Rhinolophus ferrumequinum: one gene and its partner. The protein of the gene in region 1 purifies or fractionates together with the protein of each later gene. This does not show direct contact. Links are inferred from orthologs where the notes say so. Each region holds a gene or a part of one and is shown on either strand. Other genes may lie near its edges.

What was found.
Region 2: the proteins of SOS1 (region 1) and PTPN11 purify together in Homo sapiens (affinity purification with western blotting; 4 studies listed by BioGRID and IntAct, with this or other methods). This does not show direct contact. The link is inferred for Rhinolophus ferrumequinum from reciprocal best matches to the Homo sapiens genes SOS1 and PTPN11.

Annotation. Positions count from the first base shown.
Region 1 is NC_046296.1:44,778,817-44,787,235, forward strand, and holds the start of SOS1 (son of sevenless homolog 1), read left to right. Parts: upstream 1-5,201; 5' UTR 5,202-5,436; coding exon 5,437-5,523; intron 5,524-8,419.
Region 2 is NC_046308.1:7,484,634-7,492,908, reverse strand, and holds the start of PTPN11 (tyrosine-protein phosphatase non-receptor type 11), read right to left. Parts: upstream 3,396-8,275; 5' UTR 3,187-3,395; coding exon 3,173-3,186; intron 1-3,172. UniProt on the Homo sapiens protein: Acts downstream of various receptor and cytoplasmic protein tyrosine kinases to participate in the signal transduction from the cell surface to the nucleus. Positively regulates MAPK signal transduction pathway. Dephosphorylates GAB1, ARHGAP35 and EGFR.

The DNA of each region.
Region 1 (8,419 bases):
ATTATAAACAACAGAAATTTATTTCTCACAGTTCTGGAGCTTGGGAAGTCCAAGATCAAGACACGAGCAGCTTCAGTGTCTGGAGAGAGCCTGCTTCCTGGTTTATAGATCACTGTCTTCTCTCTCGTCCTCACGTGGTAGAAGCAGTGAGGGATCTCTCTGGGGTCTGTTTTATATTGGCACTAATCCCATTCCTGAAAGCTTCACCCTGATGACCTAATGACTTCTCCAAAACCCCACCGCCAAATAGCATCACCTTGGAGATTAGGATTCAGCATATGAGTGGGGGTAGCACATAAACATTCAGTCTATTGAAAGGTATGTGACTGTCGTCCATTCATTTTTGTTGCTCTATAGTATTCCACAATTTATTTACCCATTCTATTTATGGTATTATAAACAATGCAGTGAGGATATACTCGTATATGTTATGGGAATATGTCTATGCTAATTTATATAAGATATGCCCATGTTTTCTTTTAAGAAAGAAAATAGTTATTTAGAGTGGTTGTACTCATTTATTTTCCCATAGCAGTGGATGAGAATTTCAGTTGCTTTACATTCTTGACAAAGCTTAGTATTGTTCAATTCTAAATTTTGCCAATTCAGTGGGCATGAAATAGTATAATATTTCACTGTGATTTTAACTTACATTTCCCTGATCCTAATGAGTTGAACAGCTAACCATCATTATTTCCTCTAAAGTAAATTACCTGTTCTGGAAACTAATTCTTTCTTATGTGAGTTGCAACTACTTTGTCCTACTTAATGGCTTGTCCTTTGACTTTTTTATGGTATATTTTGATTTACAGAAGTTCTTAACTGTAATAAAGTTAAATTCTTTCCTACTTAAAGCTCATAAAGATACTTTATTTTCTTCTCATAATTTTATAATTTTGTTTTTTTACATTTAAATCTTTCATCCATGTGGGATTGTTTTGTTTAGGGTGTGAGTTAGGGATGTAATTTCATTTTTTAATATGTATTTGTCAATTGCCCATATTTTATTTATTGAACAGTATATCCTTTCCCCACTCATCTGCAACGCCTGTTGTCATAAATCAAGTTTCTATATATTTGGCTCTTTATTGATCTATTGATTTGTTTGTCTGATACCACATTGTTTAATTACTCTAGCTATGTAATAAGTCTTCATATCTGGTAAGTCAAGTTCCCTTACCTTGTTCTTTTACAGAAGAACTAGGTTTTTTTTTTTGCTCTTCCATATATATTTTAGACCAGTTTATCAAGTTCCATGACAAACCATTGGTAATTTGATTAAAGTTGCATAGGATTTGTGTGCAGTTAGTTTGAGGGGCCGTTACAGCTTGAATCAACTGAACTTTTGCAAAAAACGACTCTGTAGGGATCCTGGAAAAAAGTGCTAGGAATAATCCCATATATCTTGGAGAGCTTTTTAATCATTTCTTCTAACTGTACTTACCTTGCTCCCCACCATCGAGAGGAGAGAGAGAGAGACAGAGACAGAGACAGAGAGAGAGAGACAGAGAGAGACAGAGACAGAGACAGAGAGAGAGACAGGAAGAGGGAGAGAGGGAGGGAATCAAAGTGTTAACTAAAGGTGATAAGAGGTTGTATTCAATGGTTTTATCACCACTACTTTCTCTGGCGTACTGTCTATGTACATACTATTTGGAGAAGTGGAATTGAAAGCAGGAATTTGAGAAGAAAGTGTGAGAAGCATGAAGGGAGGATATGCTGCTTGAAGAGAAAGGACCTTAACTTTGCTGATGGCTGAAACGGCTGTTTCTATGCTTGTTGTGCTCTGAAGTTTAAGGGGTAGGAATCCTAAATGGGAGATGAGAAAGACTTCAGAGAGAAGGTGGCATTTGAGCTGGAGCGACAGCGTGGATGAGTTCCACGATGAGCGTGTACATGGGTGGTGGGTTGAAGCTGTGGCGGGTGGGATTGAAGAAAAATGGTTATGGGCATTCCAGGCAGACGGAACAGGATAGACAGGAAGGAGAGACAGAAATGATGGGTTTGTAGGAGGCAACAGTAGTTCATTTTAAGTGAGAGATATTGCAGGAAAGATAAGTAGTGGCCCGATTGTGCAAGACCGTGAATGCCAAGCCAAGGACTTTAGACTTTATCCCTGGATGGCAGTGGAGGCTCTTGAATAGGAGAGTAACTGGCTCTGAAATTTGCTTCAGAAAGGTAATTGTGACTGCGTCCCACTGCGGCGCTGGGAAAGGAGCTGAGTGCTGCACTCCCACCTGCAGGGGGCGCGCCGCCTGGCGCAACGCCCTCCCCCGCCCCCTTCCCTGCTGCTCGGGCTTCGACGCGACGCGCTCGGAACTCGTCTTATCCCTCCTGGACACGCCCCCTCGGGCCTCGGCTAGGCCGCCTGGGCCCGCGCCCTGCGTCACGTCCGCTTTGATTCAGGGCCTGTTAGGGCCGAGGGGCGCGAAGAGCACCTTTGCGCCTGCGCCGGGCCGCAGTCGGTGGCTCTTGCTGACCGGCCTCCAAGGCTTTGCGCCTGCATTAGCATGTTCACGGTTATCTTCTGTCACTGCACACTCATAGATGTTTTGATTTGTCCCAAGAGATATAGGCAAACAGCGCAGAGGGGCTCGATCGCTCCCTAACCTTAGCGGCGCCGAGCCCAGCACCGCATCCCTTAGGCTCTCAGCTGAGAGGTGCTGAGTCGCTTCTCTGCAATATTCCTTCAGCTGCTTGCTCTCAATCTGCGGCCCAAACGTTCATACTAGTGAAAACCTGCCCCGGCCGCCCCAGCACAGGCTGTAATCCATGTTTCTAGGCATGTTTTACCTCTGCAATCATAGCAGAGACTCGGAGTTGAAGGGGACCTTGCAGGTCATCAAGTGCAACCTCTTAACCCTCCCCTATGTCCCGAGCGAGTGAATGTATGGTTTTTACTTGCACCCCCAAAGATCGTCCGTTTCCTAGGACAACTCTGATTAGGTAACCTTCCTGGAAGTTTCCTACATTCAACTTTCATTCCTTCAAAATTATTTATTGAGCACCAACTGTGAGTCAAGTACTGTAGGTTCTGGGGATACAATGAGGAACTAGAGTGAAACAAACGATTGTTGATCTCTTGGAGTTTACATTCTATTCTAGTTGGGATAGATCAACAACTGAAAATAATTAAAGGCTGTGATTTATGTTAGCAAAGAAATAAACAAGGCTTATGGTAGAAACATAGGTGGGAACTGCTCAGCATTATTAGACAAGGCCTCTTGGAGGTGCTGACATTTATAACCAGCCAAGCGAACAGTTAGGAGCAGAATAAGTTCCAAGCCGAGAAAAGAGCAAAGCCCTTGAGGCAGGAAAGAGGTTGCTGTTTTCTAGGAAGACAGAAGACCAGTGTGGCCAGAGGGGAGGCAAGGTTGAGAATGCAAACAGGAACCAGACGCAGGCTTTATGGGCCACGGTAAGAAGTTGGAAGAGAACAATGGGAAACCAAAGAATAACGTGGGGCAGAGATTTGATCTTAGTTCAGCTGTTTAGAACCACACAAACCATATCACATATCCTATGTTTTTCCATATCAGTCCTTTAGATATTTGAGCATGGCTGATATGTTTTCCTTTCTTGCCCCCAACACCTCTGGAAGCTATGGTTCTACTTCATTTTATCCAGAAGATTTATGAATGACTTTCAAAACGTCACTCTGAACACTGAAAATGTGGAGAATTTTTCATGTAAATCAGGTGTGTACATTTTTAAAGGAAAGGACCTAAGGCTTTTATGAGATTCTCAAAACCACCACTTAAACATTTCTCATCTCTGTGGTCCTGATTATTGTTCTCTGGAGTAGCAGGGTACAATGTCAACTTCAACCCAGGCTAGTTCTCTAAGTGGTCTTCTCACCTGTGAAATGAAAACTAGAAATGCTATGAGGATTAAATGAGATTATGTTAAAAAAGTGTTTAATGGTAGGCCATAACGCGCCAGCCACACCCGTTCCACTATTATAAACAAACACCTGCATCCCTGGGATGGAGGGACAATTTATAGGTAAAGCTCCTTCAGCACTCCAAACATTCACGAAGTGCCTATTCTGTATAGAGCCCCTGGTGAAAAAAGATCTGCCTTCCAGGGGTCTGGTATCTCGCTGAAAGACCCAGGAGAGATAAACGAAATGTCCACCGTGAAGTGTTGTGGGATCTGGGAGCTGCAGACAAGTCTTTAATTTCCACTGGAGTTAAGCGGTCATCGGAGTTCATATTTGAAATGGGTTTGAAATATGAAAATATTGAATTTTATTTGAAGTGGGTTTGAAAGATGAACATATTGAATTTTAAACACACAGAAAATCAGTATTACACATAAACATTTTATTCTTGATGTGCAAAGGCCGACTGGAAACACTGCGATCACTTCTATTATCTGACAAATACCAAACAGCAGGTATCGTGAGAACGCACCTATCTTTTGTCCAGTCTGTTTACTATACATTGCCTGCTCTGGGCAGTCCTTATCTTCATGTTCGGGAACAAAGTACACACATACACACCCCTTTCCGAAAAGAGAAAGGCAGACTCCAAGAGAGGGGTGGGATCCCTCGTGGCCCAACCACACAATGGGGGCCACTTCACCGTAGCTCGCCCCCTGTCCCTCCGGACCCCCCACACCCCCGCCCCACAAGCCCCACTGTAGCCGGGGTTCGACTTCTCCGGTCCCTATCGCTCCTCCCTTGCAGCTCCAGGGATGCAGTTACAGCCCCTCCGGGCGCCCTCCCTCTCTCGAGCTTCCCTCCTCCTTCGCTGGGGAGCCGGAAAACCCGGAGCGAACTGGCCCCGTCCGGCGGCGCATGCTCAGTAGCGAGCAGGTTCAGTTCGCTAGTAGGAAGCCCCAGCGCTACACCCGCGTCGGCGGCGGCCGCGGCGGCACCTCAGGGCAGCCAGATTCCCCAACAACGACCTCGGGCCTCTCCCCTCCCCCGCTAGACCCCGGCCCCAGCTCCGCCCCGCCCGGGGTCGCTCGCGTTTGGCGGTCTCCGCTGCGCTGAGCGGTCGCCGCGGCCGGAGCGCCCCTCCACACGCCCTCCCCCAGCCGCCGGCTCCGCCGCGGGGCCAGGCCGGGCCCAGGAGCGCAGCCCCGGCAGGCGGGCGGGCGGCGGCCTCGGCAGAGGGCAGCCCGGGGCGGCGCCGGCGGGCCGGGGAGGGGTGGGGGGGCCCGGCCCCTGGGCGGTGGTGCGGGATGCCGCCGCCACCGCCTCTGGGCTGCGTTCGCTCTCTGCGGCGGGTGCCCGTGTCGGGTGGGTGGCCGGCCGCGGGCCTCGCCCCCCAGCCCTCTCTCCAAGGCTAGCCCGGCCGCGCGGCGCCCCGAGGGGGCCGGGCCGTCCGGTGGGGCCGCGGCCCTGCTCCGCGCTGCGAGCTCGCCCTCTCGCGGCTCCCGGCCCGGCCGCCGCCGCCCCCTCCCAGTGCAGGGCGCCCCGGGGGCACCATGCAGGCGCAGCAGCTGCCGTACGAGTTTTTCAGCGAGGAGAACGCGCCCAAGTGGCGGGGGCTGCTGGTGCCTGCGCTGAAAAAGGTGAGGAGCGCAGGGGACCCCGCTTCCCGGCTGCAGCCCCTGCGAGGGCGCCGGGCCCGGCTGGGCAAGGCTTGGGGAGGCGGGGCGCGCGCGGGGCCGTCTTTCTTCCCGGTCTCACTGCCTCCCAGAAAGGACGGCACACACTGAGGTTCCCCCGCAGTCGCTGGCTGTCGGTGTTGACATTCACTCCGTGTGTGAGAAGGCCGCAGGAAAGCGGGGAGCGTTTGTCCAAATCATCCAGTCCCTGACAGCTTAAGGTCCTGCCCCTGATTCTCTCACCAGAGTTGGAGCAGCCTCAGGTCTCAGCGGAGGTCAAAGCAGGCCACTTTTCCGGCTTCTTGGTCTTACCCAGACCCGCTGTCAGCCTCCGGTTTTAGGTGTCCAGTCTGCCCGTTTCAGTGGGCTCGATATGCTCTGGCCATAATGCTTGCTCTAAGTAATTGCAGCGCTCGCCTGCCAGCAGGAATATGGCCTGCTTTGCTCGCCCTCTGTAATCACTCTTCATTCCCCCGAATTCCTCCATTCCTCCCATTAACAGGCGCGGGTGTGCAAGCCACTCTTTTTTCTTTTCTTTTTCTTTCTTTCCAAAATCTGAGAATTTTGGCACTATCATTCGGTTTGTGGATCAGAAATTTTAAACTTCCTGTGTTTCTTCAAGTTTGCCACATTGTTACCTAACGTTATATACCCCACGACTTGTACTTTTTAAATGTTTTAGTGTAATTAGGAAATGTTGCTACATTTTAAAAGCTTCTAAAGCAACATTGTGACTTAAATACATTAAAACATCAGGAACTGGTGTGCTTGAATGAACCTTAGAAACAACCAGAGTATTTTTTTGTTTTCCTTTTACTTTTTCTATAAATATAGAAATTGCTTTCTCTTTTAATAGTGTTTCTAAATCCCAGTTTCTTGTTGCTCAAAGAATGATTCTTGTTATCTGGTGAAAATATTTTTACTCCTACTGAGAGTTCAGATTATGGGTGTACCTTTTGTTCTAAGCATTTATCCTTTTAAAAACTGTCTCTTGAAAGGTGTCTGATATTTCTCAAAGGCCAGCAACTTTTACTTTCCCTTTTGCCCTGTTCTCCCTTTTCCCCTCTTGGTATCTTACAGTGGAAACTATTTGGTTTGTTAGCAGAATTTGCTCATATATTTCAGATCTAAGTTAATGACCTTTTTCCTTAGATATCTGACTAGCCACACACATCTCTGTGATACTGTTTTAAAGAAAACCAAAAACAGATGCTATTTGCCTTATATTCATTAGGCTTTATTCATTAGAAATCTCTTCAGGCTCTCACTGTATTTCCTTTTGCTTTACCTACATGCTACATCTTAGCTTGTAATAGAAGGTGAGTAGGAGGTCTCAGTGATGCCAGACCTGATTGGTATCCTGACCGAGGTGGAGAGGAGACAGAAAAATTGTTAAAAAAAAAATACAAAAAACCTCCTAAAACACTATCAATTTGGGGCTATTTTGTTTGGAAGCAAGCAACGCCTGTCCCAGGGGAACCATCAAGATACTCTTATCAATTGAGGGGACTATGAAGCAGTAAAAAGAGCAGGAGTTGGCAGACCAGGTCCAACTCTGCCACACTGGTGGCCCTTGCTAAAATCTGTCCACAGAAGCATTTGGTTTGGCTGGCACCGTGTTGTTTTAATTTTAATGTAATTAGTTGCCAATGTTTAAAAATGGGAGATATTACATAAAATCAGAATTTTGAGCTTTTCTTGAAGAGTAGCTCTCCCCTCATGGGCCCGCTTTCCAGCAAGGCAGTAAAGTGCTGCAGCTGCCCTCTTTAGACAGCATGTAGTATTTTCAGTTTACCACAGCTCTCCACCAGACCTCTGCTTATTTACCTAAACCAGCTTTGACTTTAAGCAGAAATGCCCTTGTATGACAGAAGTGATGGGAGGAGGTGGAAGGATACACAATCTAGTTGATAGGTGAGGTTCTTCCAGTTCTTTTTTTAATTATTAGTTTCAGGTGTACAAAACAATGTACTAGTTAGATATTTACACCCCTCACAAAGTGATAACCCCGTCCCCCCAATCTACTACCTCTCTGACATCGTATACAGCTATTACAATACCATTGACTCTATTCCCTATGCTGTACTCCACATCCCGTGGCAATATATGTATACATATACTTAATTATAGTTGACATTCAATACTATTTAACTTCAGCTTCAGGTGTGTAGCATGTTCTTCCAATTCTTATTTAAAATATCTACTATTGATGATTCTAAGCCACCTAAAACAAGGTTAAAAATATATTTCATATCTGGACATGCTTTGGGTGGCTCAAAACCTGCGTTTTCATCTACCTGCTGCTGTGTTTCCCCAAAAAGAAGACCTAGCCGGACCATCAGCTCTAATGCATCTTTTGGAGCAAAAATTAATATCAATATTACATAAGAACCGGTCTCATATTATAGTAAAATAAGTCCGGGTCTTATATTAATTTTTGCTCCAAAAGACGCATTAGAGCTGGTGGTCTGGCTAGGTCTTCTTTTTGGGGAAACACAGTAGACATTTAATTTGGATATCTCCGTATCTTGAACTCCTCCTTTAGACTTATTGCACTATTTGCCGATGTGCCCAACTTGTGTTATCTTACCTGAAGCTCTGTGGAGATCCTGTTATTTTCACCTGGACTGCCCTTTGCCTGGCCTAACACTACTTCTTCTGGACTAGTTTGATCTCAGATCTTTTCTCAAATCTTCAGGGCTGAGTGAGATAGTCTTTATTTTCTGTTAGTACCCTTGCCTAGCACTTAACAATGGATTCCAAGTTTCTATATAATTGACCTCCCCCCCACCCCAGCTCTTCCCCAACTAGTTTGGATGGTCCTTGAAGACAAGGATAATATTTTACCCTTATTTTATCC
Region 2 (8,275 bases), on another chromosome or scaffold:
GAATAGAGTCCAGAAATGGACCCACATATAAACGGACAACTGATTTTCAACAAAGGTGCAAATTCAATAAAGAAGAATGGTCTTTTCAACAAATCTTGCTGAAACAATTGGGCATCCATATGTCAAAAAGAGAATATGTATCTACACCTCATACCATACACAAAAATTAACTCAAAGTGGATCAGAAACCTAAAACTATAAAACTTGGAGAAAACATTTGAGACCTTGGGTTAAGCAAAGATTTCTTAGGAATGACAGTAAAAGCATTATCCATTAAAAAAAACTGGTAAACTGGACTTCGTCCAAATTAAAAATCTCTGTTCTTCAAAAGACACTTAAAAAAATGAAAAGACAGAAAAATTCAGATTAAAACTTTGAACTTTTAGTTAAAAAAAAGAAAAAAGAAAGAAAAGACAAGCCACAGACTAAAAGAAAATATTTGCAATTCCGATAAAGGACTAGTATCCAGAATTAAGAACTCTCAAATTTCAATAATAAAACAAACAACTAAATAAAAAAGAGGGAAAATATTGTATCAAATACTAGATATGTCACCAAAGAAGATATACAGACGGTAAATAAGCACATGAAAAGATGGTCTACATGATTAGTCCCCAGGAAAAATACATATTAAAACTACAATGAAAATGAGATACCATGACACACCCACTACAATGGCTAAAATTTAAAAATTGACCACACCATGAGCGGTGGGAATGCACATGGTGTAACCACTATGTAAAACAGTGTTGCAATTTGGGAAAAAGTTAAAAATACATCTACTATATGATCCAGCCATACCACTGATAGGTTTACAGAAAAGAAAAGAAAGCGTATATCTATACAAACACTTGTACCTGAACATTCAGAGCAGCTTTACTTGTGATAGCGAAACTCTGGAAACAATGCAAATGTCCATCAACAGGTGGATGGATAAACAATTGGCAGTACATCCATGCAATGGAGTATTACTAAGCAATAAAGAGGAATGAACTATTTGACATATACTACACCATGGATAAATCTCAACATAATTATGCTGAGCATAAGATGCCAGCCTTAAAATTCCATTGATATAAAATTCTAGGAAATGCAAACTAATGTATAGGGACACAGAGCAGAGCAGAGCAGTGGTTGCCTGAAAAATAAGGGATTATAAAGGACATGAGGAACCATCTCAAGCAGTGCTGGACATGTTTCTTATCTTGATTGTGGTGATGGTTTCACGGGTATATACATACATCAAAACTTATCAAATTGTACACTTAAATATATGTAATGTATTGCATGTCATTTATACCTCAATAAAGCTGGTTAAAAATAATAAAACAGACCTACAACCTGAAAAATAATAATAATTCCCAATTATGTGTGTTATGTTCATAACTTGACTTTTTTGGTGGCACACATTTCTTTGTTATAATAGGTGAGACAGGGAGGGCTGGAGGAGAGGAGGAATTACTCCATTTCAAACTGTCATGTTTACCACTTGCCGGTTGCTTATCCCCACACTTCCCTGCTTCTAGACTAACAAGCTGGACAATGTAGGGTCTATTACTACCCTACCCCTTACCCAGCCCCAGCCCCATCTTTTGTCTCCAAAAGCAGCAGATCCTTACTTGTCTGGAAGAGCAGACACAAGGAACAAAAGGCTCAATGACTATTTGACAGATTAAAGAATAGACAACTGTTTTATTTAAAAGCTCCCTAAAGAATTACATTTGAGGCTATACACTGCCCTGTTGAAATGCAATTATGTATTACCCAGATCTGTAAGCACTTGCCAACAGACCTGTCCAAGTCACTCACTTCCAAAGTTTCCAGTTTTCTTTTTTTCTCACTCTTTTCCTTCCAGATCTATGAATAAGTATTGTGCAGGTGTATTTTGAGACGACATTCTAGTCTTTTGAAGTCTCTCACTCAAATAACACCAAAAGGCTAAACAGTTTTTCAAATGTCTAAGACAGTGACCACAACAGGGCAACCAAAGAAAAGACTAAACAATGAGTCTTATATGTGAATGGTATATAATGAGTGACTATACAAAAAAGCAGATCACCATCTGAAAACAATAGATCACCCTACTGCTTAATAACAAAATTAAGACCTAAAAATGATTAGCAACAGTTATAAAATAATAGCAACATAGTGATTAATAGTGGAGATTCTGGCTCTACCATTTGTTGGTTGAGTGACCTTAAGCAAGTTGTCTAACTTCTGAAACTCAGTTTATCCATCTTTAGAAAGGGGATAATAGTACCTACCTCGTAGGGTTATAGTGAAGATTAAATGTTTGGCTTACAGTAACAGCTTAATAAATGTTAGCTATTAGTATTATTACCCTGAACTTTCAAAGGACCTCATTAATTCACTAATCTTCCTTCTGACTCTCGGGTACAAATCCTGTCATTTACTAGCTTGTTACTTCGGAGCCTCAGTTTCCACATCCGTAAAAAGAAGGTCATTAATGTTACCTGACTTTTAGGGTTGCGGTGAAGGATTAAATAACTAGAAGAGATACAACTCCCTTCCCTCCCATCTCTCAAAGCGAATATTGCAGAGGAAGGAAATACTTCTAATAGCTGCAGATACAGTCAGTTTTTCCATTTCTGGCACGTGAAGGGTGGGGTGGGGGGAAAAGGAGATGCAAAGACGCCTACAAAGGGGTCAGGGGTCCCGAGTGAAGCCCCCAAATGCGCGCGACAGGCAGAGTGACCTCGAGCAGCTCCACCGTCGGGGACCCGGCCCGGAGCAAATCCCTCCTCTTCCCTCCCGCGTCGCGGGCCCAAGGAGCCTCCCCAAGTGAGCCGGGTTATTTCGGAATCACCATGAGGCAATTCTCATGAGGCAATGGGTCAGGAATGCGGCGCCGAGCCGGGCCGCTGGCGTCCGCGGTTCCCGCGGCGCTCTACCTGCCCCCGTCCCGACGGGCATCCCCTAGGCTGCGGGAGCCGGAACTCCGGGAGGCAGGAAATGAATGGAGACCCGAGGGGTGGGAGCGAGGTGGGACCGGACCCCGGCCCCGGGAAGGCGAGGAGTTTGGGGGGGAGCCTGTCCCCCGACCCCAGGCGGACGACCGAAGTCCGCCCGACGCGCCCCCTCCCGGGCGAGGCTGACCGAACACGACGGGGGCCGGGCCGAGGCCCGCGCCGGGCCCCTCCGGGCTCCTCACCTCCGCGATGTCATGTTCCTCCCGCCCTCCGGCTCCGCGACGGACCCGCTCCTCGCTCAGGCTCCGCTGGGCCTGGTCACATCGGGATGGCCCGAGGGAGGCCCGCTCGGGACCGGACGCGGGGCAGAGCCAGCCGGCCGCGCGCAGACCCCCCTCCAGGCCTGGGGATCCCGGAGACTGTGCAGCCGCCCCCCAAGCCCGGTTCGCTCCTCCTTCGCCCCCGCCCTTCGCCGCCGGCGCCATAGTGACGTCACCCCGCGCGACGCCCCCTGCCACTTCCTGCTTCCAGGCGGCGGGACACCCAGCCGCGGCTGGTAATGGCAGGTCGGTGGTGGCTCGTTGGAGCCGCCGCCTCGCAGTTCCCAAAGTACCTTCACGTCCTCCTTTAGACCTCGGCTGCGGGGCGTGAGCTGCGCGCTCAGTGTTGTCCGCGCGGCCCCAAACCGATAGTTTCCGTTCCCACGGTGTCAATTTTCATTCCTGCGCTGACTGCCAAATCGCATTTCATTCATTTCATTCCTCAGATCGCCGCTCCCCTTAACGAGCTGTATAACCTTGGGAAAGTTGCTTAATTTCTCTGAGCCTCAGTTTCCTCCATCCCTTCGTATCTGTAAGGTAAAGATAGTCATTGTATTTTCTTCGTGGGATTATTGTGAGGATTGAACATGTAAAATGCTTAGAGCGAGGCCTGGCCTGTTTAGTGTTTTGTAATTGTTAGCTGTATTATCAATGTCAGTAAACATATGTTGAGGGTTTTCTATCTGCTAGGCACTGTTTTAGACTAGGGGGATACAACAGGGAAGTGAAAAGACAAAAATTCCTGTGTTCTGGGAGGAGCTACGGTAATCAAGATAAGTAAAATACTCATGGTAATATTCCCATCCTTCCTTCTTGTCTTTTCCAAATAGCCCTTTCTAGTATCATTTGAAACAGAGTTTTAGGGAAGGCTTCACTGAGGATTCCAGTAAAGATCAGATGCTGAAGCCGTCAGAGGAAATAAGTGAGGGGAGTAGCATTTCAAGCATCTAAGGTAGGAGGCTGCCTCCTATTGAAAAACAATAGAGGGGGGGGATGAGGGTGAGGGGGATCAAATGTATGGTGATGGAAGGGGAGCTGACTCTGGGTGGTGAACACACAGTGTGACTTATGGATGATGTGATACAGAATTGCACACCTGAAATCTATGTAATTATACTAACAATTGTCACCTCAATAAATTAAAAATAAATTTAAAAAAAAAAAAAAAGAAAGAAAAACAATAGAGAAGTCTCCAGCCGGAGGGAGAGTTGGTGGTGAAAGGAGAGTAGCAGGAGATGAGAAAGAGAAATGGTAGAGGATCCTATAGGTTATTTAAATGAACGGCGAAATGGAGAGCCCTTGAAAGATGTTTCGGCAGAGGAGGAATATAATGTGTTTTTGAAGTATTACTTTGGGCACCCTGTGAAGAATTGGATCAAGAGGGCAAGGCCAGTAACGGAAAGACCGGAATACTAAAATACTGTGGTATTCAAGGCTGTAGGTGATGGTAATTCGGACCACAAGAAGGTCGAGTTTTTAACCTAATGAATGCACGTGACTCATTAAAGGCCACAGATCTAGTGAGTGAATTCAACCCACATTAGATAGCTCCAAAATCCTCCCAATGATTCCCATTTCACTCCTATACAAAGAACTTTCACACAGTGTGCTAACTGCTTCAGCATTAATGAGCTCCTTACAAAAAAAATTGTCTTTAATATATGCAAATTTAATTTAGGTAATAGCATTCAGCAAGAAGTTGCTCAACCTGTTTCTTTCCATATTCTTCCTAAATCTTAGCCACCTGGACAACTCAGACAACATCCTAATTGATCTCAGGCCTGCAGGCTTTCCCTGTCCCATCCATTCTCCACATAATAGCGACAGTAATCTAAAATGCAAATCTAGTCACTCCCTAACTTGGAGTACTTCAAAGGCTTCTCACTGCTTTTAGGATGTAGCAAAAAGGGAACAACAAAAAAAAATTTAACACCCTCCTGATCCAATCCCTGCTCACTTCACCAGCCCTACCTGTCCCCACCACTCACCTCATTCCCCATGTCCCGGTCGTGCTGAATGACTTTCATTTCCCCTCCCAGCTGAGATGCTCCCTCTCCCTGGAGGGTTCTTTCTGACCCCGCTTCCCCAGGAACTCTAGTTTATGCCTCAAATCTCAGACTCGAAGTCATCTCCGCTGGGTTAGGAAGCCCGCTGTGATTCTCCCAGACCAGGTTATGTGGTCCCCAAGACACCTTTCCTATCTTAGAACCAAACGTACTCCATTATAACTCGAAGACACAGTATAATACGGGGGATTAAATTCGTGATCTTCAAAGCTCAGCCTGTCTGCCTGGGTGTCCTATGTTAGGTTACTTGACTCTGTCTCAGTTTCCTTCTCTGTAAAATGGAGAGACTCTAAATACCACACACCCCATAGGATAGGTTCCAAAGAATAAAAGAGTTAATGTTTAAAAAAAAAAAAAAGTTAATGTTTGTGGAGTACAGTAAGTCCTCACTTAATGTCGTCAATTCATTCTTGGAAACTGCGACTTGAAGACAAATGACCTATAACAAAACCAATTTTATCATAGGCTAATTGATAGAAACAAGAGTTAAGTTCCGAGAGAATATTTCTGGTCACAAAAACATCTCCACACTTCTAAATAAAGACCCAAAATACTTCTAATATTAAACATTGAAATAAATGTGAGCTATACATACATTTAAAAAAAGATTAATAAAAACAAGTGTGGTCATTATTTTGTAACCCACTTATTCCAGGTCAGGGCTGAGCACAGCTGAAGCCTATCCTGGCAGCTCAGTGTGCAAAGTGGGAACCAACCTTAGACAGGAGGCCCTTCCATCACAGGGTGCAGGGCACATCACACACACACACACACACACACACACACACACACACACACACACCCCTACAACCCCTCAGAATGGGCCAATGGAGACAGGCCAGATCACTTAATATGCACATCTGTGGGATGTGGGAGGAAACCAGACTACCTCTAGAAAACCCACGCAGACATGGGGAGAACGTGAAAACGACACACAGACAGTGGCCGTGACTGGGAATGGACTTTTTATTCTCAGGAACGTTAGGAAAGGACAGTGAACGAAATGACGTTATTTTAGGATCTGCCGTACCCAGAACAGTGCCTGGCAAAGTATGCACTTGATAAATGCTGTTTATCATATATCTCTTCCAAAGTAAACTAAGCTCTTTGAGCACAGAAACCATTGCTTCCCCAGTCTTTCCTATATTTTGTACACTCTGCAGCAAGAAGGATCTTTCTAGCATACAAATCTAATCATGTCATTCTTTGCTTCTATGAGGGAGGTTCAAAGTCTTTAGCACTAAATTAAAATCCTCCCATTAGACTAAAAACCTTTCTAGATATGGAATATACCCACACAGTTTCATTTACCCCCACTCTTTCGCATAATCTGACCGTTTTCAAAGGCCTCTTGCTCTTTCTTGCATCTCTGTCTTCCAGAAGTTAGTTTCTTCTGTCTGGAATACCCTTCAAACTCTTCTTCATCTGGAAAACTAAGTGTCAAGCAAGATTCAGTTCCAACTCAATCAGCTCCTCCACAAAACATTCGCTGTCCACACCCCTTGACCACATCCTAAAAATAAAATAGAGACCCCCTCCCCACTACGCCTTGGGGCTGCCTGTTTATCCTCTCACAGCCCCCAACATAGTTCAAGGTCGTTGTTGATTGAGTCTTTTTCCTCTTTCCCTAGTTTATGAGCTCCTCTTAAAACAGTCATTATCTTCATATGCCCAAAGCCTACACAGTAGTACCTGGCATATAACAAGCTTAAGAAATTCATTTACAGATGTTTTATTTTTATTTCTTTCTTAGCTACAAAAGCAATACAAGTGTGTTGCAACAATCCAAATAAGAGCAGTAATTTCCCCGGCTCCTTAGTGGCTACAGCCTCCCTATGGCAACCCCCGCACGGTTAATGATTTGGTGTGTATCCTACCACACTTTTTTCCATACCTACACACACACACACACACACACACACACACAGATCCCACACACAGTCACTCACATACATGACATATGTAGGGATTTTTTTCTATTTTTTTAATGAATTCATAATATGTGTATATATTTATAGGTTTGTAATATGTATATATTTATATATACATACATTTGTGTATGTGTGTATATGTATGTATGTACATACAGATATATATAGAAATAGATAAAATATATATAGAGAAATAGATACAAATATATATCTTTGTGATATAATGTTTTCTCTTAATATATAATGGACATCCAGCTAAATCAGCACTGATTGTCCAATGCAAATATAATGTGAGCAAATATACGTGTAATTTTAAAGTTTCTAATATTCACATTTCAAAAGTAAAAAGAAACTGGTGAAATTAATTTGAATAATATGTTTATTTAACCCAATATATCAAAATATTATCATTCAACATATAACCAGTAAATATAAACAATTATTAATGAGATATTTTATATTCTTTTTTTTCTTGTGCTTTTAAAGTCCAGTGTGTGTTTTACACTCACGACACATCTCAATGTGAACTGGCTACTTTTCCAGTGCTCAGTAGCTACATTTGGCTACTGGCTACCGTGCTATACAGCACCCTTGGATGAAAGTCATTCATTTTCATACCTGCATAATATTCCATAGTATGGATGTCCATTGTTTAGTCAATTCCTGTGTTGATGGACATTCAAATTATTTCAAGGGCTTTGTTTTGTTTTGTACTACTATAGTGCTGCCATGAACTTTTTCGTGAGAAAATTATTGAGTGAGTGAATCACCATGTTGACCTTAACATTAACATTTAAGAAAGTATTATCAATATTGCCAATATCATCCCCGTTTTATGAGTAAGAAAACTCATGTGCAGAGACTTATAAGATCATATAGCAAATGAATCCCCGGTTACAAGGACAGTACCCTTTCTGCAGCACAACTGCCTACTGGGTTTCTGTTTTTCTGTGACACAAAGAGACATGAGTCAATGTAAGCACATGTGTGACCCTAGATAAGTCGTTTATTGTAATTGAGCCTCAGTT